4 linked regions of the Arabidopsis thaliana genome follow. The protein of the gene in region 1 interacts with the protein of each later gene in a biochemical or structural test. Each region holds a gene or a part of one and is shown on either strand. Other genes may lie near its edges.

What was found.
Region 2: of the proteins of AT4G40030 (region 1) and HAG1, one has a biochemical effect on the other in vitro, tested with the Arabidopsis thaliana proteins (one study listed by BioGRID).
Region 3: of the proteins of AT4G40030 (region 1) and ATXR5, one has a biochemical effect on the other in vitro, tested with the Arabidopsis thaliana proteins (one study listed by BioGRID).
Region 4: of the proteins of AT4G40030 (region 1) and ATXR6, one has a biochemical effect on the other in vitro, tested with the Arabidopsis thaliana proteins (one study listed by BioGRID).

What each region holds. Positions count from the first base shown.
Region 1 is NC_003075.7:18,554,652-18,559,057, reverse strand, and holds AT4G40030 (Histone superfamily protein), read left to right. Parts: upstream 1-2,153; 5' UTR 2,154-2,230; coding exon 2,231-2,314; exon of another isoform or gene 2,315-2,556; intron 2,557-2,640; coding exon 2,641-2,712; intron 2,713-2,794; coding exon 2,795-2,871; intron 2,872-2,956; coding exon 2,957-3,218; 3' UTR 3,219-3,440; downstream 3,441-4,406. Other genes in the region: AT4G40040 (Histone superfamily protein), read left to right, coding at 822-893, 981-1,057, 1,160-1,250, 1,349-1,519; AT4G40020 (Myosin heavy chain-related protein), read left to right, coding at 3,758-4,406. UniProt on the Arabidopsis thaliana protein: Variant histone H3 which replaces conventional H3 in a wide range of nucleosomes in active genes. Constitutes the predominant form of histone H3 in non-dividing cells and is incorporated into chromatin independently of DNA synthesis.
Region 2 is NC_003074.8:20,210,953-20,218,354, forward strand, and holds HAG1 (histone acetyltransferase of the GNAT family 1), read left to right. Parts: upstream 1-2,453; 5' UTR 2,454-2,640; coding exon 2,641-3,273; intron 3,274-3,360; coding exon 3,361-3,425; intron 3,426-3,534; coding exon 3,535-3,615; intron 3,616-3,714; coding exon 3,715-3,786; intron 3,787-4,030; coding exon 4,031-4,199; intron 4,200-4,469; coding exon 4,470-4,513; intron 4,514-4,758; coding exon 4,759-4,858; intron 4,859-5,257; coding exon 5,258-5,326; intron 5,327-5,410; coding exon 5,411-5,465; intron 5,466-5,694; coding exon 5,695-5,813; intron 5,814-5,922; coding exon 5,923-6,016; intron 6,017-6,128; coding exon 6,129-6,270; intron 6,271-6,359; coding exon 6,360-6,423; 3' UTR 6,424-6,701; downstream 6,702-7,402. Other genes in the region: DJ1F (Class I glutamine amidotransferase-like superfamily protein), read left to right, coding at 96-275, 506-979, 1,073-1,438, 1,745-1,924; BZIP25 (basic leucine zipper 25), read right to left, coding at 7,133-7,402.
Region 3 is NC_003076.8:3,038,247-3,043,350, reverse strand, and holds ATXR5 (TRITHORAX-RELATED PROTEIN 5), read left to right. Parts: upstream 1-2,189; 5' UTR 2,190-2,380; coding exon 2,381-2,735; intron 2,736-2,835; coding exon 2,836-2,916; intron 2,917-3,180; coding exon 3,181-3,410; intron 3,411-3,505; coding exon 3,506-3,606; intron 3,607-3,692; coding exon 3,693-3,905; intron 3,906-3,987; coding exon 3,988-4,147; 3' UTR 4,148-4,371; downstream 4,372-5,104. Other genes in the region: AT5G09800 (ARM repeat superfamily protein), read left to right, coding at 1-228; AT5G09780 (Transcriptional factor B3 family protein), read left to right, coding at 4,867-4,965. UniProt on the Arabidopsis thaliana protein: Histone methyltransferase that specifically monomethylates 'Lys-27' of histone H3 (H3K27me1). Has much higher activity on nucleosomes containing H3.1 than H3.3.
Region 4 is NC_003076.8:8,294,399-8,299,628, reverse strand, and holds ATXR6 (TRITHORAX-RELATED PROTEIN 6), read left to right. Parts: upstream 1-2,469; 5' UTR 2,470-2,631; coding exon 2,632-2,890; intron 2,891-3,111; coding exon 3,112-3,195; intron 3,196-3,264; coding exon 3,265-3,494; intron 3,495-3,639; coding exon 3,640-3,740; intron 3,741-3,854; coding exon 3,855-4,070; intron 4,071-4,224; coding exon 4,225-4,384; 3' UTR 4,385-4,519; downstream 4,520-5,230. Other genes in the region: AT5G24340 (3'-5' exonuclease domain-containing protein), read right to left, coding at 1-77, 406-541, 649-725, 894-1,433, 1,519-1,650, 1,933-2,301. UniProt on the Arabidopsis thaliana protein: Histone methyltransferase that specifically monomethylates 'Lys-27' of histone H3 (H3K27me1). Has higher activity on nucleosomes containing H3.1 than H3.3. Involved in the formation of constitutive heterochromatin and the silencing of heterochromatic elements.

The sequences.
Region 1 (4,406 bases):
AACGCACCAATCGGATTTTGTATTCAATGGGCCTTATCTGTGAGCCCATTAATTGATGTGACGGCCTAAACTAAATCCGAACGGTTTATTTCAGCGATCCGCGACGGTTTGTATTCAGCCAATAGCAATCAATTATGTAGCAGTGGTGATCCTCGTCAAACCAGTAAAGCTAGATCTGGACCGTTGAATTGGTGCAAGAAAGCACATGTTGTGATATTTTTACCCGTACGATTAGAAAACTTGAGAAACACATTGATAATCGATAAAAACCGTCCGATCATATAAATCCGCTTTACCATCGTTGCCTATAAATTAATATCAATAGCCGTACACGCGTGAAGACTGACAATATTATCTTTTTCGAATTCGGAGCTCAAGTTTGAAATTCGGAGAAGCTAGAGAGTTTTCTGAGGTACGATTCTTCGATCCTCTTTGATTTTCCTGGAAATATTTTTTCGGTGATCGTGAAACTACTGGAATCGCTCGATAGGTGGTACGAAATTAGGCGAGATTAGTTTCTATTCTTGGCCATTATCTTGTTTCTTCGCCGAATGATCTTCCGGATAAAGATTTTAGGTTAGAGATGAATCGTATAGCTAGATTTCATCACCAGATAGTTTCTTTGTCTAGAATCTCTGAAATTCTCGATAGTTTTCACATGTGTAAATAGATTGTTCTTATTCGGCGATTGTTGATTAGGGTTTTGATTTTCTTGATTATGCGATTGCAATTAGGGATTTTCTTTGGTTTTGTGTTGATCTTACGATACATTCCGGCAATTGAATACGTATGGATCTAAATCTTGTTAATTTGTTGAACAGATGGCTCGTACTAAGCAAACAGCTCGTAAGTCTACTGGAGGAAAGGCTCCTAGGAAGCAGCTTGCTACAAAGGTAAGACTCGGGCTCTCACATGTGATCTGAGTAGCTTGATAAACACATTTCTAGATTTGTTCTAATTGGTGGATGTTTTAATTTAAGGCTGCACGTAAGTCTGCACCAACCACTGGAGGAGTCAAGAAGCCCCATCGTTACCGTCCAGGAACTGTTGCACTACGGTATGCAATCTGTTTCTTCCCCAAATTCAATTGTGTTTTTACTTTATTGATATCGTCATTGATTAAACTCTGTTTCTCTGTTTTATTGATCTTGATTGACAGTGAAATTCGTAAGTACCAGAAGAGTACCGAGTTGCTGATCAGGAAGCTCCCTTTCCAGAGGCTAGTTCGTGAGATTGCCCAGGATTTCAAGGTAATGTGTCTGTTCGTCTGATTCAGTCTACAAATGGATTTAACTTTTTACTTGTTTTGTCATAACCTTGTGTTCTTATCTTGTCTCTTTGATTGCAGACTGACTTGCGTTTCCAGAGCCATGCTGTGCTTGCACTCCAGGAGGCTGCTGAAGCATACCTTGTGGGTCTCTTTGAGGACACTAACCTCTGCGCCATCCATGCCAAGCGTGTGACCATAATGCCCAAAGACATTCAGCTCGCTCGCAGGATCAGAGGAGAACGTGCTTAATTGTGATTGGGAAGTAGTTGGATTATGTGAATGTGGGTGGTTTTCTAAATAGATAGTTGGAATTAGATAATGGCTTAAAAAGCTTTTGGGTGTAGGAGACTTGGAAACAATGGTGTTTTTTTTTTCTTTTCTTTCTGTTTCTTGTCTAGTCGGTTTATGATTTGCTTGTGTTCTTCTTAGCTACGTTTTGTGGTGTGTATTGCTTTCTTCTTTGGCAATGTTGAACACCTTTTGTTGTTGAATTCATCTCTGAAACATATGAATATGTTAAAGTTTCTGACTCTTGTTTCATCTGTATCTGTTCGATATTGTATGATTGAGTTTTATTGTTTATCAATAAGCTTTCTGTTTCAAAGTTCTTTTCAATATCAACAACTTTTACGTTCACGAAATTGGTAATCCGTGTGACACTTAAAATCTCTAATCGTGGCCGTTGGGCTGTGTTGAGAAAACACAATGTACAATAGTTTGAACCGTAGGATAAAGAATGTGAGAAAGCACAAAGGAGCGTATCGTGATAACCCTTTCGTGAGTATTATAAATAATAATTCAACTACATTGCGGCCACAACCACTACTTCAATCATCCCCTATTACTGCTTTTGTTACGAAAGACAAAAAAACAAAACAAAACAAAAGTCAGCTCAGGCGAAGAACAGGTATGATTTGTTTGTAATTAGATCAGGGGTTTAGGTCTTTCCATTACTTTTTAATGTTTTTTCTGTTACTGTCTCCGCGATCTGATTTTACGACAATAGAGTTTCGGGTTTTGTCCCATTCCAGTTTGAAAATAAAGGTCCGTCTTTTAAGTTTGCTGGATCGATAAACCTGTGAAGATTGAGTCTAGTCGATTTATTGGATGATCCATTCTTCATCGTTTTTTTCTTGCTTCGAAGTTCTGTATAACCAGATTTGTCTGTGTGCGATTGTCATTACCTAGCCGTGTATCGAGAACTAGGGTTTTCGAGTCAATTTTGCCCCTTTTGGTTATATCTGGTTCGATAACGATTCATCTGGATTAGGGTTTTAAGTGGTGACGTTTAGTATTCCAATTTCTTCAAAATTTAGTTATGGATAATGAAAATCCCCAATTGACTGTTCAATTTCTTGTTAAATGCGCAGATGGCTCGTACCAAGCAAACCGCTCGTAAGTCCACCGGAGGTAAAGCTCCAAGGAAGCAACTTGCTACTAAGGTTTTGTTCCTTCTTGTCTCTTTTTTCAAATAATACTTGTGTTGTGAAGTTGAATGTTAATCTCCTTCTTTATTAACCTCAGGCTGCTCGTAAATCTGCACCAACTACTGGTGGAGTCAAGAAACCACATCGTTACCGTCCTGGAACTGTTGCTCTCCGGTTTGTCCCTTCTTCGATTTGTATGTGATTCTTTGAGATTATGTAACATTGTGTGTTAACATTCCTCTTATCTTTTGGTGTTCAGTGAAATCCGTAAGTACCAGAAGAGTACTGAGTTGCTTATCAGGAAACTGCCATTTCAGAGGCTAGTCCGTGAGATTGCTCAAGATTTCAAGACTGATTTGCGTTTCCAGAGCCATGCTGTCTTAGCTCTCCAGGAAGCTGCAGAAGCATATCTTGTTGGTCTCTTTGAAGACACTAACCTTTGTGCCATTCATGCCAAGCGTGTGACCATAATGCCCAAAGACATTCAGCTCGCTCGTCGTATCAGAGGTGAACGCGCTTAAGCCAACCAAGAATCCGAGATTTGGTTCAAGTAGTTTTTGTTTTTTATGAAAGCAAGATCTTAATTGCTGTGTTTTTTAAATCTCTGGGTATGTAGTAGTAAGAGTAGTAAGAAGTCTGCAATCTAAGAATGTTGTGTTCTTTAAGCTTATTATTATGTGTGTTGCGAACTCTTTTTAACTCTTTTGTTAAATTCTTATGTTTTCTTAACTCGTTTGTTCGTCACCATTGCTTTCTCTTCAAATAATGGCTGATTTTTTTCTATAATTTTGGATTTGTTGAATGCTTTCTTTTAAAAGAATCAGATTTTGGACTTTTGACCAAAGAAAATAATAATATCAGACGATAAAATAGACGGCTCTCGATAAAACTAACCCTAAAAATAAGGAAATAAGTTCCTCTTTGAACCAAATTTTCTTTCTTTGACCAATAGATCTTTTTGTCAACCTCTTAAATATATTCTTAGTCAATCTTCTAATAAACCCATTGGCCATTACCAAAAATTCCTCGGAAACGCTGAATAAAAAACATTCTATCATCTATGGGAGAAGTCGATGAGAAACCGTCCATTGATGTAGCTTCTCCAAGGTATTCATCGAACAAAGTTGCGGATATTGGTACAGAGCTTTACAAAATGAAAGCTTCCCTTGAGAACAGAGAAAACGAAGTCGTTTCTTTAAAACAAGAGTTATTGAAGAAAGACATCTTCATCAAGAATCTTGAAGCTGCAGAGAAGAAACTGCTTGATTCGTTTAAAGATCAATCGAGAGAGTTAGAGGAAACCAAAGCTTTGGTAGAAGAGTCAAAGGTAGAGATTGCTTCATTAAAAGAGAAGATAGATACATCTTACAATAGCCAAGATTCCAGCGAGGAAGACGAAGACGATAGTTCTGTTCAGGATTTTGATATTGAGTCTTTGAAGACTGAGATGGAATCGACCAAGGAGAGTCTTGCACAGGCTCATGAGGCTGCACAAGCCTCTTCTTTAAAGGTTTCTGAATTGTTAGAAGAGATGAAATCGGTTAAGAACGAGCTTAAATCAGCGACTGATGCAGAGATGACTAACGAGAAAGCAATGGATGATTTGGCTTTAGCTTTGAAAGAGGTAGCTACTGATTGTAGCCAAACGAAAGAGAAGCTTGTGATTGTGGAAACAGAGCTCGAGGCTGCTAGGATAGAGTCTCAGCAAT
Region 2 (7,402 bases), on another chromosome or scaffold:
TCTCTTTTTTTATTGGAGAAAAAAAAAGTACACTGTGATAATTTGAACTCATATATATACACACTAGTTGTGTGTGCTTGTCTTAAGAAAAAACAATGGGATCAATGGCTCAGAAATCGGTTTTGATGTTATGCGGAGAGTTCATGGAAGCCTACGAGACTATAGTACCTCTCTACGTCCTCCAAGCGTTTGGTGTTAGCGTCCACTGCGTTTCTCCTGGTCGCAAAACTGGCGACAAGTGCGTCATGGCCGCTCACGATCTCCTTGGCCTCGAGGCATTTCTCGAATCTTTCACTTTTTCTTCATTTCAGTTTTTTTCCCTTGCAATCGTTCTTTGCATATTTAGTAAAACAATGCGATCAAATGCTCATAATTGGGTGGACTTTCCCCTTTATTATCTTTATCCAAAAAGTTTAGATAATTGGGTGGTCTCAACCCAAAATGCATGGGCCTACTCTTAACAGTAAAAAAGAAGAGTTTCAATTTGACTTTTACCTTTTTACAGATATACACCGAACTGGTGGTTGACCATCTAACACTAAACGCTAACTTCGATGGCGTCATCCCCGACCAATACGACGCCATCATCATTCCCGGTGGACGTTTCACGGAACTTTTGAGCGCCGACGAGAAATGCGTGAGTCTTGTTGCTAGATTCGCCGAACTCAAGAAGCTCATCTTCACGAGCTGCCACAGCCAGCTGTTTCTTGCGGCGGCAGGTCTGCTCACCGGTGGAATGAAGTGCACGGCGTTCGAAAGCATGAAACCGTTTATCGAGCTCTCCGGCGGCGCATGGTGGCAACAGCCTGGAGTCCAGACCCTTTTCGAAATCACTGATTGTGTCAAGGACGGCAGTTTCATGTCCACTATGGGGTGGCCAACGCTTGGCCATAGTCTCAAAGTTTTGTTAGAATCACTTGGCTCCAAGATTTCTAGCTCTAAAGAGAATCATCAGACTTCTTTGCTTTTCTTGATTGGGGTAAGTAGCTTATTTTCATAAGACTCTCTTTTAGACTTTATATATTGGAATTAAAAAAATGGTCTGACTAATACGTAATTTTGGTATATTTAGGATTGTGTTGAAGATTATAGTATCAACGTACCATTTAAAGCGTTTCAAGCTTTGGGATGTAAAGTGGATGCAGTGACGCCAACCAAGAAGAGAGGTGAGAAATGCGCTACAATCGTACACGACCTTGAAGACGGACGGCAACTTCCTACTGAGAAGTTTGGTCACAACTTCTATGTGACCGTTGCGTGGGATGATGTCTCTGTGGATGATTACGACTGCATTGTGGTTCCCGGAGGAAGATCTCCGGAGCTCTTGGTGATGAACCCCAAGGCCGTCGAATTGGTCAGAAAGTTTGTTGAGAAAGGCAAGTTTGTTGCTGCCATTGGAATGGGAAATTGGCTACTTGCCGCCACAGGCGCCCTTAAGGTAATATACACCGTTTTACAAAAATTCGTTTTACTATTCTAAAGACTTAAAAGTTAAAACTGAAGCCGAACCAAACCATATTTTAATTTAAACGAAACAAAAATGTCAAGATAAGTTGCTCTAAGCACATAGGAATCTCCTATGGTTATGGTTATGACTAATATTATTCCAGCATATTGTTGAAGGTTAGTAAGATATAATTCATCACATTTATGGCACCACTTCCTTAGCATAGATTATAATTTTTGCCAGCTTGTTATAACTCATCTAATTCCCATTGTGGCATGCTATATTATTACATTGCAGAAGAAGAGATGTGCAAGTAGTTATGGGACAAAGGTGGCTGTGAAGGTTGCTGGTGGTGAGATCGTGGAATCTGAACGGTGCGTGACCGACGACAAGCTGGTCACAGCCGCATCAACTTCCGATCTTCCTGCCTTTTTGTATGCATTGTCGACTGCACTTGGTCTCTCTGTTGTATTCTAATGTCAAGTGGTGCTTTAACGTCTAATGCCTAAAAAAATAAAAACATATCTTTGTATGTCGAAATATAAGGTCGTCCCTCTAATTATTTATGTACAAGCTTGGATTTGCATATATATATGGGAAGAAGAGTTGCCACACTTGCTTACACCTCTTCTAATTGTGTTTTTTTATAAGAAATTACCACTATCAAGTTGTCATTCTCCTCGTTTTACATTTGGTAAACAAGCTCTATTGACCATTTATGTTGTAACACTACTTCAAGACTAAAGTTGATTAGAGATAGCAAAATCTGTCACCAGCAAATTGTGTTTCCTTGTTAAATACTAGTAACAGATTCCAAACACATTAAATTTTGTGAAGTTAAATTTAACAACATACTATAAAATAAAACAACACATAAACGGATTAAAGACGTTAATGTTCATCCAAAAAGTATACTGAACTTTTAAATAATTTACCGACGAATTGTACTGTTTATATCCGACCAATATAGTTAATCACATTTTAATCACTGCATAAATTTACTCATAGGAATTACAATTACCGAATTAGTTTCGGTTTAAAATTTGTTGGATCAATAAAACAAAAAAAAAAAAACGATGCCAGAATATTCCGTTCGTCGGCGTAGTCTTTCCCGCCCCCAAATTATCTGAGCAAAAACCCTAGACTCTCGATTTCGTCACGATTTTCTCAATCACCTTCACTATACTGCTTCGATGGACTCTCACTCTTCCCACCTCAACGCCGCCAATCGTTCCCGCAGTTCTCAGACTCCTTCTCCTTCTCATTCCGCCTCCGCCTCCGTCACTTCTTCTCTCCACAAACGCAAACTCGCCGCCACCACGGCAGCGAATGCAGCCGCTTCTGAAGATCACGCCCCTCCTTCTTCCTCTTTCCCTCCTTCCTCCTTCTCTGCCGATACTCGCGACGGCGCTTTAACCTCCAACGATGAACTCGAGAGCATCTCCGCTCGCGGCGCCGATACAGATTCAGATCCTGATGAATCAGAGGATATAGTCGTGGATGATGACGAGGACGAATTTGCTCCTGAACAGGACCAGGACTCTTCTATCCGCACATTCACCGCCGCTCGACTCGATTCCAGCTCTGGAGTCAACGGTTCGAGTCGCAACACTAAACTTAAGACGGAAAGCTCCACGGTGAAGCTTGAGAGCTCTGATGGTGGAAAAGATGGTGGATCATCTGTGGTTGGGACTGGTGTGAGTGGCACTGTTGGAGGAAGCTCAATCTCAGGGCTCGTGCCAAAGGATGAGTCTGTTAAGGTATTGGCTGAGAATTTCCAGACTAGCGGAGCTTACATTGCCAGAGAAGAGGCTTTGAAAAGAGAGGTAGCTTATCACTGGATCTATGCTAATGAATTACTAGATGAGTTCAGAGAATCGCCATTGACAAATTTGGTGATATCTTTCATTTAGGAGCAAGCAGGACGACTCAAATTTGTTTGTTACTCAAATGATTCCATTGATGAGCATATGATGTGGTAATGCCTTCCATCATTTGTCTCCTGCCATTGAATTTAGCTTCTAATCAGCTATGCATTCTTCGTTCTAACCTCGTTTTTTATGAATAATTTGTTGAATGTATTCCAGCTTGATTGGGTTGAAGAACATTTTTGCAAGACAGTTACCTAATATGCCCAAGGAGTACATTGTTCGTCTTCTGATGGATAGGTAAACATGCTAAACTAAAGTGAAACATTGACAATTTTTGTAACAAACAATCGCAAATGGTAAGCATTCTAATATCTGTAACTTATGTTATTTGCCCAGGAAACATAAGTCTGTTATGGTACTAAGAGGGAATCTAGTTGTAGGTGGTATCACGTATCGTCCATATCACAGGTAAGGTTTTCGCATAACTCTTCCCATCTTTTGACCCAGTGATGATTTTCTCCACCATATGTATGTGAATACGCTTATACAGCTTTTTGCTGTTTAGAGAGTAGCATGTTGACTTGTTATCTTATATTATCATCAAACACAGCTTACTTTTCCTATAGAATATTTCTGAAACTGTCTGATGTCATAATGAGCATGAATACAGTCTTGACATGCTTATTAACTCCATTGTTTCCCTGGGATTCAGTCAGAAGTTTGGGGAAATAGCATTTTGTGCAATCACAGCAGATGAACAAGTAAAAGGTTACGGTACCAGATTGATGAACCACTTGAAACAACATGCACGTGATGTTGATGGATTGACGCATTTTCTTACTTATGCTGACAACAATGCTGTTGGTTACTTCGTCAAGCAGGTTGGTGTTTCGTATATTGTGCAATTTTTTGCTCTATTTTTAATCTCTCAACAAACTTCGACCAACTGTAGTACATTCCAGAAAAGTAGTTGAACTGTGTTTTGGATGTAATGTTTTCTATTGGTTAATAGGAGATACCTCAGAGTTTCACTTCTAAAAGTTCTGTTTCCACACTTAGCTATCAAGTCTACTTTCTGGATTCTAACTGTAATTTTTATATTCTTACAGTCGTCCACTAAGTTGATCTGTTACGTCTATTATCTTGTGCAGGGTTTTACTAAAGAGATTTACTTGGAGAAAGATGTATGGCATGGGTATGGAAACTATGTATCTCTTAAGTTCAAACTGCTCATTTACCATTCTTAACTTCTGTGCTTTATCTGTATGATGTCTAACTTAAATATTTGTTGGCCCAATTAAGCTCACAAACCTTAGAATACAAGCATTTTATTGCGTGGCTGATTATGCTACGAGAGAGCTATTTAAAACTTGTCTTTATCATTCTCTTCTTCATCTTGAAACTTACTTTTGCAAATAAAAACCTTTGAAATTTTCTTAGGTTCATTAAAGACTATGATGGTGGTCTCCTTATGGAATGCAAAATTGATCCAAAGCTGCCATATACGGATTTGTCAAGCATGATACGCCAGCAAAGAAAGGTAAGCCTTTGAAAATACCTTTTATGTGGTGAAAAAATATCTCGAGCCTTCAGGTTCATCTATACCCAAATAGTTCTTCAGGTTACGAAGCTATTTGTTTACTTTCTTTACTTTCACTATTTAACTCTAGCATTATGGCTGATTCTGAAAAAAATTAAAAACATAAGAAATACAAACTTGAGGATTCGATTATTGAAAGTTCCTCTCTTCTCTCTCTCGAGGAATTAATTAATGGAAATTCCTGTCTTCCCCTATGAGCCCAAAAATCAAGCTGCCCTCCCAAAAGCTATCTGCTTTCAAGAGAGCATAGCAACGTAACACTAAACGAGTAACCATTGTTACATTTCTGTCTAATTATACGTATCAGTTTCTGATCCGGTTGTACTTTTATAATATCAGGCAATTGATGAAAGGATAAGAGAGTTATCAAACTGTCAGAATGTGTATCCAAAAATTGAGTTTCTAAAGGTAAACATCAATGGTTTCATGTCTTGTGGCTATTATTGTATACAATGTTTCCAGTAGTAATAATAAATGAGATGATTTTTGCAGAATGAAGCTGGAATTCCTAGAAAGATTATCAAAGTTGAGGAAATACGTGGCTTAAGTAAGTTATGATTCTACTTGATGGTGTTATTGCAGTTTCTTACCCAAAATATAGACATATCTCCCTTTAAAATGTTCTAGTCATCTCAAAATTAAGATTGTGCTAGTCGCTCCATGAGATCAAGTTGATATGCATGTTTGAGATTCTCCTGCATTTGTTAGCTGTGGGCTAAGGGTTTATCTGTAATACATGAATTGGCTAATTCATGAATTATGGTATACTGTTGCAGGGGAAGCTGGTTGGACCCCAGATCAGTGGGGGCACACTCGTTTCAAATTATTCAATGGTTCTGCTGATATGGTGACAAATCAAAAACAGTTGAATGCACTCATGCGTGCGCTTTTAAAGGTTGTGATAAATCTTTTTTGTTTTGTTATTAATTATTATGTCCTCTTACATATTATGTTATTGCAATTACATGCCCTTTAATTTGACAAGCTGTAGTTAATTGCTACAGACAATGCAAGACCATGCTGATGCTTGGCCTTTCAAAGAACCAGTGGATTCTCGCGATGTCCCTGATTACTATGACATCATTAAGGATCCCATTGGTAAGAAGATATAGTTAAAATATCAATTTCGCTATTAATTATCCAGAATTTGTCCTCTTTTTAAGTAGAAGTGTTAAATCACTTTGGTAACCAAAAAATGGTTTGAACACAGATCTGAAGGTAATTGCAAAGAGGGTAGAGTCGGAACAGTATTACGTGACATTGGATATGTTTGTTGCGGATGCGAGACGGATGTTTAACAATTGTAGAACTTACAACTCCCCCGATACCATTTATTACAAATGTGCAACCAGGTAAGACGTTTTTTTCTTTCATTTCATTTCTTCTCTTCTTATTCAGTAATGAAATAGTGCATTTACTTTGTTTTTCTTTCTCTTAAAAGGTTGGAAACACACTTCCATAGCAAAGTACAAGCAGGTCTCCAATCTGGTGCTAAATCTCAATAGAAGAAGATGGTAGAGGTTATATTAATATCATTTTCTAGATCTTTCATTTTAAGATACTTTCATTGGAACTGGGAATACATGTATACTATTTTAGGCCCATGTATACTGGAGCTTAATTGTTTGTATGTTTTTTTTTCGGATAGGTAAATATTTGATTTAGTTAGATTCAGAATGTTTAAGTTTTTACTTTGTAGGTTAAATTTGTTCTATAAAGCTTATTTCCAACTGTAAAGACACATTTCATTTTACTAAATGTTTCTGATGAAAATCACATAACCAAATTTTGATATCGAACGGGATCACCAGTTTCGGTGGTTTTGATCGGATCAACAATGGTGAAGAGAATGAGCGTCATGGGTCATTTGTGTTTACACGCTTACACTCACGCTTACGCTGCACAGATTTCTTTAATCTGATGAATGTGAGTTGTTGTTGCTCAACATTTCGTTAAAACGGTTACGTTTGCCATAAGTAACTATTGATACATTTGTGTTTATACGCTTACGCTGCTGCACATGTTTACGTGATTACGTCTACGACCATTTCAACTTCGATTTGCCTTAGAAGCACGATAGCTTATACATTCTTCCATCATGTCCAATCATATATATAATATTAAGAGTTTACCGTCGCTGAGTCATACAGTAAATAAAAATACAGACAATAGTTACCTCAATCAAAATCACAAAACCAATGACTCTTTTTCTGGTTAATGCTTGTGATTCCAATGGGGTAGGGTTTCATACAGATTAGAATCAGGAGCAAATGGATTCTGCATGCCTTCACGGTTCACCTGTTCCGGCAAGAAATTTGCCGTCTCCACTCTCTGATTTTGTGCTAAACCAGCACTGGTGTTGGTACTTGAATTTGCTGGTTTCAAAATGTGGTTAGAGTTTGGCGGAATACTAGAGGAAGCACTCGGTGTGTTGCTGAATGGTATGCCCATGTTTGGTCTTGACCAATGCAAAGGGTTCACTCC
Region 3 (5,104 bases), on another chromosome or scaffold:
CACGCCGTTACGGTTTTGTGGAGCGTCTGTTATCTTTTCAAGGAAAAGAAGGCGCAAGATGCCGTTATTAGAATTAACGGCGTTACGAAGATACTGTTACTTTTACAGAGTAATTGCTCGCTTACCGTTAGGCATATGCTAACGGATCTTCTTAAGGTGTTCAAGGTGAACTCAAGATCTTGCCTTTCGGTATACGAAACCAAAACGACACATATTATGCCGTTTTGATTATCCCCCCTCCGTATTAACTTCTTTAGGGATTATTACTTGTTGGTAAAAAAAATTCAAGTTGTAAGGAAAGAGATTTTTTGGAAGGTGAATGGAATTGTTATCACGGCCAATGCCATTAGAACTTTGAGAATAAATTGCAATGTTCTTTAGTACTAGTATCATTGCAATGTTGATACTCTAAACCAGAATTTTATGTTTGGACTTGGCAAAATCGTATTAAAAGTAAAGCTATCAATATGCTCTATCAAGGGAGATGTTGTCTTTGTATCTAAAACAAACTGAATCTTGATTGATTGAGCAGTCAAAAACAAAATTGGATTTAAAAGATTACAAGAAGTGGATTTGGCATTTGGAGGAACGTTAGGATAAGGAAGGAGGTCTTTGGTGAGTTGCAATTTCTTGTCAACATCAACCTTAGTACCAATTTCCACTTTCATTACTTGAAGAAATTCACTTTCCGACAGAACAGCCTCACTTGTTCGACTTCTCTAAGATTCCCTCTACACCCGTATAACTCCAACACCTTCAACGTATTTCCATCAATGCTATACCCACAAGTACTTACACACTGAAAACCCTGAAACAACGGATAGAAAAGAAAAGAACACACAGTAAGTGAAACTCCGAGATTAAATTTATAATTGAGAAAGAGAAAAAGAGATCATATTATACATACAAACCTTGAGGATCAAAGTTTCTAGATTGGGAGAGCTTTTTATCAGAGTCCAAAGAACTTTCCAACCTTTTTTCGTCTTAGACTCAAACGATAGTTTAACAAGGTTTTTAAACAAGGGAAATTCATTACTACGCCAATAATCGAAGCAATGACGCATCATCTACAACACACAAGCAAACTGGTCATGAATGAAACACAAACAAATTGGTCAAGCATGAATGTAACAAGATACATGGAGAAGAGAGAGACATCATACTTTAACGGTAGTAGAAGCAAGGTCAAGAATGTTTTTCATATTCCTCATATTCATAGGGACAAAACTCATAAGGCATAGAAAGATCGATGCGGGCTTCTCGAAGGGAATCCATTGTGATGGACCAGTAATAGTCTTATTTCTTTGATTTTTTTGGAATACTATGACTTAAACAGTATTAGTATAAGCAAAACTTACATGGCGAGCATATATGAATATCTTGAAGCATCCACCGATGCAAGACTTAAGTTTTCATCCTTGTGAAGAAGTGCAACAACCTTAATAAAGGACTTAGCCACAAAATTACCTAGCATACACCCCGGTTCAGAAAATATGATAAGAAAGTTTTGCTCTCATCGTCAAGAATATATCAAACAACCATTTCACTTGTTCCAATTATGTATATTATTCTTTATAGTCTATACCATAACTATTTCATTAACGCTAACACCGCAATTTCTTATTAATTAAAAACCTTGAAAAAAATAGAGAAAACTATTCATATATAAAATTATAAGATAAAAATTTACAATTGAAAGATATTATATATGTATATAAAATTATGAAAATCAATATGGCGAAAAATTCTTAAATCGGAAACAGAAAATTATGTTAAACCATAAGACATAATTTATTAAATTTTGTATTTTATAGATTCAGATTTATGTAATATTACATTGTTGGTCAAACCAGAACACTTTGGTTTAGCTTGTCAAATAAAGAACTTGAGCCTCCAATGAGGCGGACCGACTGTTGGGCTTGGCGTTGGGGTGGCTCAGTTGACGAAATTGACGTTTACTGTGTTTGTATTGAGCCCACCAACATATATTTTTTTTCAATTGAAAGATATCTATTTTTGTAATTACGTTTGTATAGTATAGTTAATACTGTATTAATTTTTATATCAATCCCTAGTAAATTAAATAAGTAAAATTTAGTTAAGAAATTTAGTAACAATTAAAAGGCTTTAATGGTTGTAAATTTATTAGTATCACTTACAATGTTTAAACCTTTTAAGACATACCAGTAATTTTGAATTTGTCAAAGGTCAAAAAAACAAAAGAGCCGATAAAGAAGAGTCTCAAAGGAAGAATCCCAAATTACACTCCAGGTGATGCGCACATCAGTTTTCGTGCGCACACGCGGCGGTGCACATTAGCCCCAACCAATCAAAATCATATATCCCGTTCTCCGGCGACTCTTCGTCGTGAGCTTCCGTCATGGCCACATGGAACGCATCCTCCCCTGCGGCGTCTCCTTGCTCATCGAGGCGACGAACGAAAGCTCCAGCGAGACGCCCTTCCTCCGAATCTCCACCACCGAGGAAGATGAAATCAATGGCTGAGATAATGGCGAAATCTGTCCCTGTGGTTGAACAAGAAGAAGAAGAAGACGAAGACAGCTACAGTAACGTCACCTGCGAGAAATGTGGTTCTGGAGAAGGAGACGATGAGCTTCTTCTCTGTGACAAATGCGATAGAGGCTTTCACATGAAATGCCTTAGACCCATTGTTGTTCGTGTCCCCATTGGAACTTGGCTTTGTGTCGATTGTTCCGACCAACGACCTGTAAGAAGTATGGATTTTTTGTTTCTTCGCTTTTAAATTTCCTAATTTTCTTGTGTTCTTTGTTTAATAAAAAAATGGATTTTTCTCTTGTCCGGTGAAATGTTTAGGGTTATCTCAGAAGAAGATTTTACATTTCTTTCGGATTGAGAAGCATACTCATCAAACAGACAAATTGGAATTGAGTCAAGGTGCGATTTTTGTTTTTGGATTTCATGATATGATCATAAAGTTCTTGAGTTGATGAATCTGACGAGATGTTTCACTTGATTAAATAGTTAGATGAATATGAAATAGCTTAACTTTGGCCTATTATATGCTTGAAATTTTGTTGCACCTTATGTAGGGTTAATAAGCATTGATGAGAACTTATACATATCATATACATAGATCATAGATGCTTCAGGATTAAACTAATAACAAGTGTTTGAGATTGAGATTTCTTTGTTTTGAAGAAGAAACTAGAAAGCGGAGACGATCTTGCTCTTTGACAGTGAAGAAAAGAAGGAGAAAACTCTTACCTTTGGTTCCATCAGAAGATCCTGATCAGAGGCTTGCACAAATGGGAACACTTGCTTCTGCATTAACGGCATTGGGTATCAAATACAGCGATGGTTTAAATTATGTTCCCGGAATGGCTCCTCGGTCTGCAAATCAATCCAAGTTAGAGAAAGGTGGGATGCAGGTAATAAACAAAAACAATCTTTCAGCCATTTATCCATAACTCTCTTATTTTAAGTTACTTCCTTGATTGTTTATCTCGGTTTTTACTTTTCGCAGGTGCTATGCAAAGAAGATTTAGAGACATTGGAACAATGTCAATCTATGTATAGACGAGGAGAATGCCCTCCTCTCGTTGTGGTATTTGATCCGCTTGAAGGGTATCTCTCTCTATTCCTTCGATCAACCTTCCCATAATGACAAAGTGGAGTTGTAAACATGTTCTTTGGTTATTCCGTTTGTACAGTTACACAGTTGAAGCAGATGGTCCTATTAAGGACTTAACATTCATAGCTGAATATACAGGGGATGTTGATTACTTGAAAAACCGAGAAAAAGACGATTGTGACAGCATCATGACTCTCCTTTTATCAGAAGATCCTTCAAAGACTCTTGTTATCTGTCCAGACAAGTTTGGAAACATATCTCGCTTCATTAATGGCATTAACAATCACAATCCGTAAGCAACAAATTCAAAATTGTTTTCCCCCCACTAAACTGGTTTATAACATTGAATCATCACATCACACTGATTGTTGCAGGGTTGCTAAGAAGAAGCAGAACTGCAAATGCGTGAGGTATAGCATAAACGGCGAATGTCGAGTTCTTCTAGTGGCTACACGCGATATATCGAAAGGGGAAAGGCTCTATTATGACTACAATGGTTATGAACATGAGTATCCTACTCATCACTTCCTCTGATCTTTCAATTCTAACAGTTCTACAGAGTCTCTAGATCAGATGTTCTTTTTGTTGCCATATTACAGGTCAATTATAAATGTAGGGCTGCTGAATATATGGCCTTTAATTATGAAGTTAGCGGTAGAATAATTGGATTTGGAATGACATTACAGAGATTAAGATGTGGCAAATGTCAATTGCTGAACTTTTGTTTGATATCAAATGAAATCCTAACCTTTTTCTTATATGTTCTTGGAGACAACTTCACCACCTTAAGTGGTTGCCAAATAAGTTATAATTTCTTTTATACTCTTCTTCATAAATTTATCAAAATGAAGAACTAATCCAATACAGTCATTACCTAAACAGAAAAGTATAATTACAGTACTTGCCTAGTGTCGTACTTCTTATTTCCAGTCACCGAAATGTATTAACGCCAAAAGAGATTCATCTGTTATGCATAATAATCGCATGCTATGAATTAAATGAACACATCCAAAAAGGATGAAGTCACAATTGTACTACAGTTTCAGTATTGAGAGGAAAGCTTTTTTCACTTTGACCACTTTGATTGAATCATATCTTTGAAATTTTAAGTGGTGCTTTGCTACATATTCAACGGCTCAACAAGACAGAGAGAAAAATATTACGAGAGGAGATAGAGAGTGAGAGAGACGAGCAAGTTGAAGGAGCAAAACTTGTAGGTGAGAGCTTGAATCAGAACATTTCAAAGGAGAGAGATGGCAAGTAACCCTGATTTTCTTTGGTGCAAAGAAGAGAGGAAGCAGGAAAGCTTCTTCAAAGTTCTTAAGCGTTCCGACATGTCTTCAGAGGACACGGTAAACTATGTTCTAAACTCTTTATGTTGTTGAATTAGCTTAGTCTAGAAAGGTTAAACTTTCGGTTTCTTAAAGGTTTGAATCTTGTCGTTAACTGTCTTTATGGGTCTAGAAAAAGCTTTTGTTTTTCTTTTCTGAG
Region 4 (5,230 bases), on another chromosome or scaffold:
ATAAATTTCCCATTGCACTTCGTACATCTGGACATCAGCTGATTTCCGCTGATCTTTAGCTGGAAAGTCTCTATCACCTGCGAAGCTTATTTGTTTCAGTAATTCACAAAAAATCCGTAATCATTCTACTGAATGTAAGAAAAGTGGTTGCACAGTGAGTGGACGAGGTTATTTTGGCTCGGTGAATCCAAGCATGCCATAATTACAGGTAGTGTAGAAAATGTTCCACCCAGAAAGTAAGGTTAAAAATAAATTTGTTAACTAGTGTCTTGAGAGATCCTATTCTTTAAAGCAAAATTTCCAGGGTATGTGTCCTTTTTGATTAATAAATCTAGTAAACCAAATCATGCCACATCACAGATCTTGCATAACAGCTTATACGTTGAAAATTAACTTTGTTTGTACCTCAAGTAGCTGCTCATTTTTAAGAAGACTCTTTACTCGATATATTTGATGCTTTGCCAAATCCTGGTGTCTCAACAATTTTGTATCTCTTGTTAATAGAACTCTGTTCTCTTTGAATGCTTGATCAAGCAACTCCCTGGCATTTGTGTCAACATCACAATTAGAAAATCAATCCTATACAGATATTGTGATCAAAACCCCATGTCACAGAAAAACTTTAATAGCAGCTTTAGGATAAAGTACCTTGAATCCGGCTTCTTTGAGTGTGGGATTGCAGCATCAATCCCCACACAACGTAGATGTTTCGCCAAACCTTCAACCTATAAAGTAGTTTTACAAGAAACTGATTATGATACCACATGGATTCTACTGAAAATGGTTAGATTCAAAAACAAAGATACTAAATAGGTGAAATCAAATTCTTGTCCTCTAATTAAATAAAACCAAGAAACAAAAGAGCAACAGAAAACAGAAATTGATTCAAATACCATCACATCCAATAGAAATTTAGGGCAGCCATCACCGCCTAAAGATGAGTCCCATGGCGGTGGACCTTGCCAGTCCGCAGAACAGACCAACTGCTTATTTGTGTTCATAGTGCTTGAGGCGACACGTCTTCTTGTTTTCTTCTTAAGTTTCTTTGGTAGAAGATCAGACTCCTTCAACAGGATCCGTTCTCCAAACTTCCTGACAATCTTCAACAAATTCTCATCCATTGGCATCGTGTTTAGTGTCGTTTTTCTTGGAACCACTCCATTGGCTATGTTTTGACCATTTTCCGACATTGATCTGATTACATCTGTAGCCTTGCAAAGTTTGACTGTGACAATCTTACTGCTATAGTCCGATTCAGTCAGAATTTCTTGTAAGCCAACATTTATCACTCTAAGATCTTGCACTGTGATTCCTTCAACAAGATGCGCCTCAAATACATCGAATATCTGGAGCAGGCAGTGAGCATCTGTGGCAGCGTATAGTTTCTGTTCTTCTGTAAGAGGACGATATGACCAATCACTACATTGAAGTTCCTAAAGAATAAAAACCTGTTAAGAAAAGCCTTATTAACAGTACGTTTCACGAAAAGTCAAATTCTTGCAGGAATCATTGACAAACCTTTGAGAGAGAGATGTCCAGCATTTCCTTACATATAGCAGCCAAGCTCTTGATATCCTTTGGCGCCTTTCTCCCAAACCGCTTATGTTGCAGATAATTGTATATGCTTGTAATATCCAAGTATTGTTTCACCTATTCACATCAACAATCACAAACATAGAGTTTTAAAGCAACATAACCTAAAAAGGCAAATAAAAGAAAAACACAATTCAACAATCTACTTTCAACAGAAGTCAATAAACACACAAATCAATACTTACCTATCTATAAACACCACACGTGATCCAAACACAAGAACTTTAAGTACAAGAGAATATAACAGAGCTAAAGGTTAAAACTTTGATAAGAATTCGACTACAATTAGCTTAAACTAACACTACGAAGCAAAGTTCAAGACTTTCAAAAGCAAATCACCTCTTGGAATCCACCTTCACATCCATGTTGAGTAAATGTCGAAGACAAGTAAACCAAATCCTGTTTAAACCGAAACCCTAGTTTCAGAACATCCGGCGACACGAACATATCATTCAACAGCTCCCAAACCGATGGAAGATGAATCGAACTCAAATCAATGAGGAAGACATCGGAGACATCCGTGGCGTGACTGAGTCGGCATGCGACTTGGAGGAGAGTGACGGTCGGAAACGACGACGTATTGGAGTGTTGTGGCTTCCATTCGGCGTCTAAGGCGATGATCGTAGAACGAGTGAAAGACCATTTCAGGTGAGTGAACTCGGACGAGTCGGTGGATGAAACTAGATAGATCTTTAGATTGGTCTCCATCGTTCAAAGAGCAAAATCAATTTAGTTGAAAGTTACATTGAAGGAGAGTCTTATGTCGGTTTTGGTTTGTCCGGTGGGATAATCAAATTGAACCGAACCGAACAACCAAAATATATGAACCGATCTAATCCTAATTTCTCAAAATCGGTTAGATAAAACCAAAATAAACCAGTCTGCAAATCGGGAAACCGTAACAGTGGCGCCAAATTAAAATTCCCCGGGAAAATCCGGTGAATCCAGAGCGCGAACTCTTCTACTCAACCTCGGCTAGATCTCACATTTATAATCTCTCACTCTCTCTCTTTCTCTGGTAAATCAATAAGTGTAAGAATGGTGGCTGTGAGGCGAAGGAGAACACAAGCGTCAAACCCTAGATCCGAACCACCGCAACACATGTCGGATCATGATTCCGATTCCGATTGGGATACAGTCTGCGAAGAATGCAGTTCCGGTAAACAACCAGCAAAGCTGCTTCTTTGCGACAAATGCGATAAAGGGTTTCATCTTTTCTGTCTCAGACCGATCCTCGTTTCAGTTCCCAAAGGCTCTTGGTTCTGCCCTTCTTGTTCCAAACATCAGATCCCTAAATGTAAGCTTTTTCACTATACCCACATGACTCTAATTTCAAAGCTTCCTTCTTTTGATTAGGATATGTTTATTGTTGAGCTTTAGATTTTAGGATTCTTCTGGGTTTCTTGATCTCTGTCTTTGATTTGATTTTGCGAATTTGATTCAGATTTAACACTACTAGATCAGGTTTTGGATTACACTGTTGCTGAATTACTAATGAAAAGTTTTGTAAATCTGCAGCTTTCCCTCTTATTCAGACTAAAATTATAGATTTCTTCCGGATTAAGCGGTCTCCAGATTCATCTCAAATCTCAAGTTCTTCAGGTATGTAATTTTGCAGATTAGAAATCTAAATCCCTAGAAATATTAATCTGAATAGTGAAATGTTTGCAGATAGTATTGGGAAGAAACGGAAAAAGACTAGCTTGGTGATGTCAAAGAAGAAGAGAAGGCTTCTTCCATACAATCCTAGCAATGATCCTCAAAGGAGGCTAGAGCAAATGGCGTCTCTGGCCACTGCGTTGAGAGCTTCCAACACCAAGTTCAGCAATGAGCTTACTTATGTATCTGGAAAGGCTCCAAGATCTGCAAACCAAGCTGCTTTTGAGAAAGGAGGCATGCAGGTATCTATCTTAAGTTGATATGTATTGCTCTTGTTCTTCAGTCACATCTATATGATTGGTTTGGTGATTCTTAGGTTTCTTGAAAGCATTCATTGTTGGGTTAAGTATCAACAGAAAAGTTGATTTTGTATTTAATTTCATACAGGTTCTATCTAAAGAAGGCGTAGAGACCTTAGCCTTGTGCAAGAAAATGATGGACCTCGGTGAATGCCCGCCACTTATGGTCGTCTTCGATCCTTATGAAGGGTACTTAACATTCTTATTAGCTTCTCTTTTGACCTTTATAACCAAGAAGAGAGTAGGAAAATGCATTTATCAATGTATAATTATATTGAAGTCTAATTTTTTCTATCTGAACAGGTTCACAGTAGAGGCGGACAGGTTTATAAAAGACTGGACAATTATCACAGAGTATGTTGGAGATGTTGATTATCTGAGCAATAGAGAAGATGACTATGATGGAGACAGTATGATGACTCTACTTCATGCCTCTGATCCTTCGCAATGTCTCGTAATTTGCCCTGACAGACGCAGTAACATCGCCCGGTTCATCAGTGGCATCAACAATCACTCACCGTGAGTTTCTCTTCTCTTCTATTTGGTTCCTTAAAGTCGACTCTCTGGTCACAACACCTGAGCTCCATGTTTTGGTCCTGCTTCTGAATTAGTTGGAACCATTCTAGTATTGCTTGTCCTCATTGTGTATTTGTTGACATTTTGTGAATTGCAGAGAAGGGAGGAAGAAGCAGAACCTGAAGTGTGTGAGGTTCAACATCAACGGAGAAGCTAGGGTTCTTCTCGTAGCTAATAGAGACATATCGAAAGGGGAAAGATTGTATTATGATTACAACGGATATGAACATGAGTATCCAACTGAACATTTTGTATAACCCTGTGAATTTCGTAAGAAAGGTCAACCTATTAAAAAGGTTGCTTGTTCATCAAGAAACAACCTAAAAGTGTTTTTTGTCCTTCCTAATGCTTTAACTGGGCTTTTAGACCATGAACCAAAGCCTTACTTCAAGTTGGATCAAAATGTGAAGCCTTGTCGGAATAATTGATGTTCTATTTGTAAAAAATACACTAGAAATGGGAATTGAATTGAAGAAAATAAAGATTGTTGGTAAGGAAAAGAGAGAGTAGGAATAATGAATGAAATAGAATGGTCCAAAGAGCCTAAAGACTAAAGGAGTCTGACAGTACCTTCAAGCGACTATGAGAGTTTGCATCAAAAAAACCATTCCTTTGTGATTCCTTCAGATCACTGTGGGACATAAACTTCCTTTTGGATCCCACACTTACCATTTTTCATCTTTTTTTGCATTCTCCAACAAATTTATTCAATTTTAATGCATCGTACATACCTAAGAGACAATTTGATAAATATCTCGACATTGATTTATTGAACATTTTATCTTTCATCTTTTAGCTCTCCATCAGGATATTATAAATTTGGCTACGGGAGCGGACATATCATATTAAAATTGATTACTAAGTATCAATTTGACGTAGGAAGCATAGATAAACCTTGGATCTCTTAACATACGCCTCAAAACAAGTTAATATAGGACCAAACTTTGGTCAGTAGCATTATGATCTTAAACTGTCAGGATGGACCTTAGATACTATAGAATCTCAATAAAATTATTTCAAAAATGACTTTCTTATTTAGTTCATTTAGTGATTAAATATATAGATGGATTCGGGTAATCTCACGGGTTTTAAACTCATTTTAA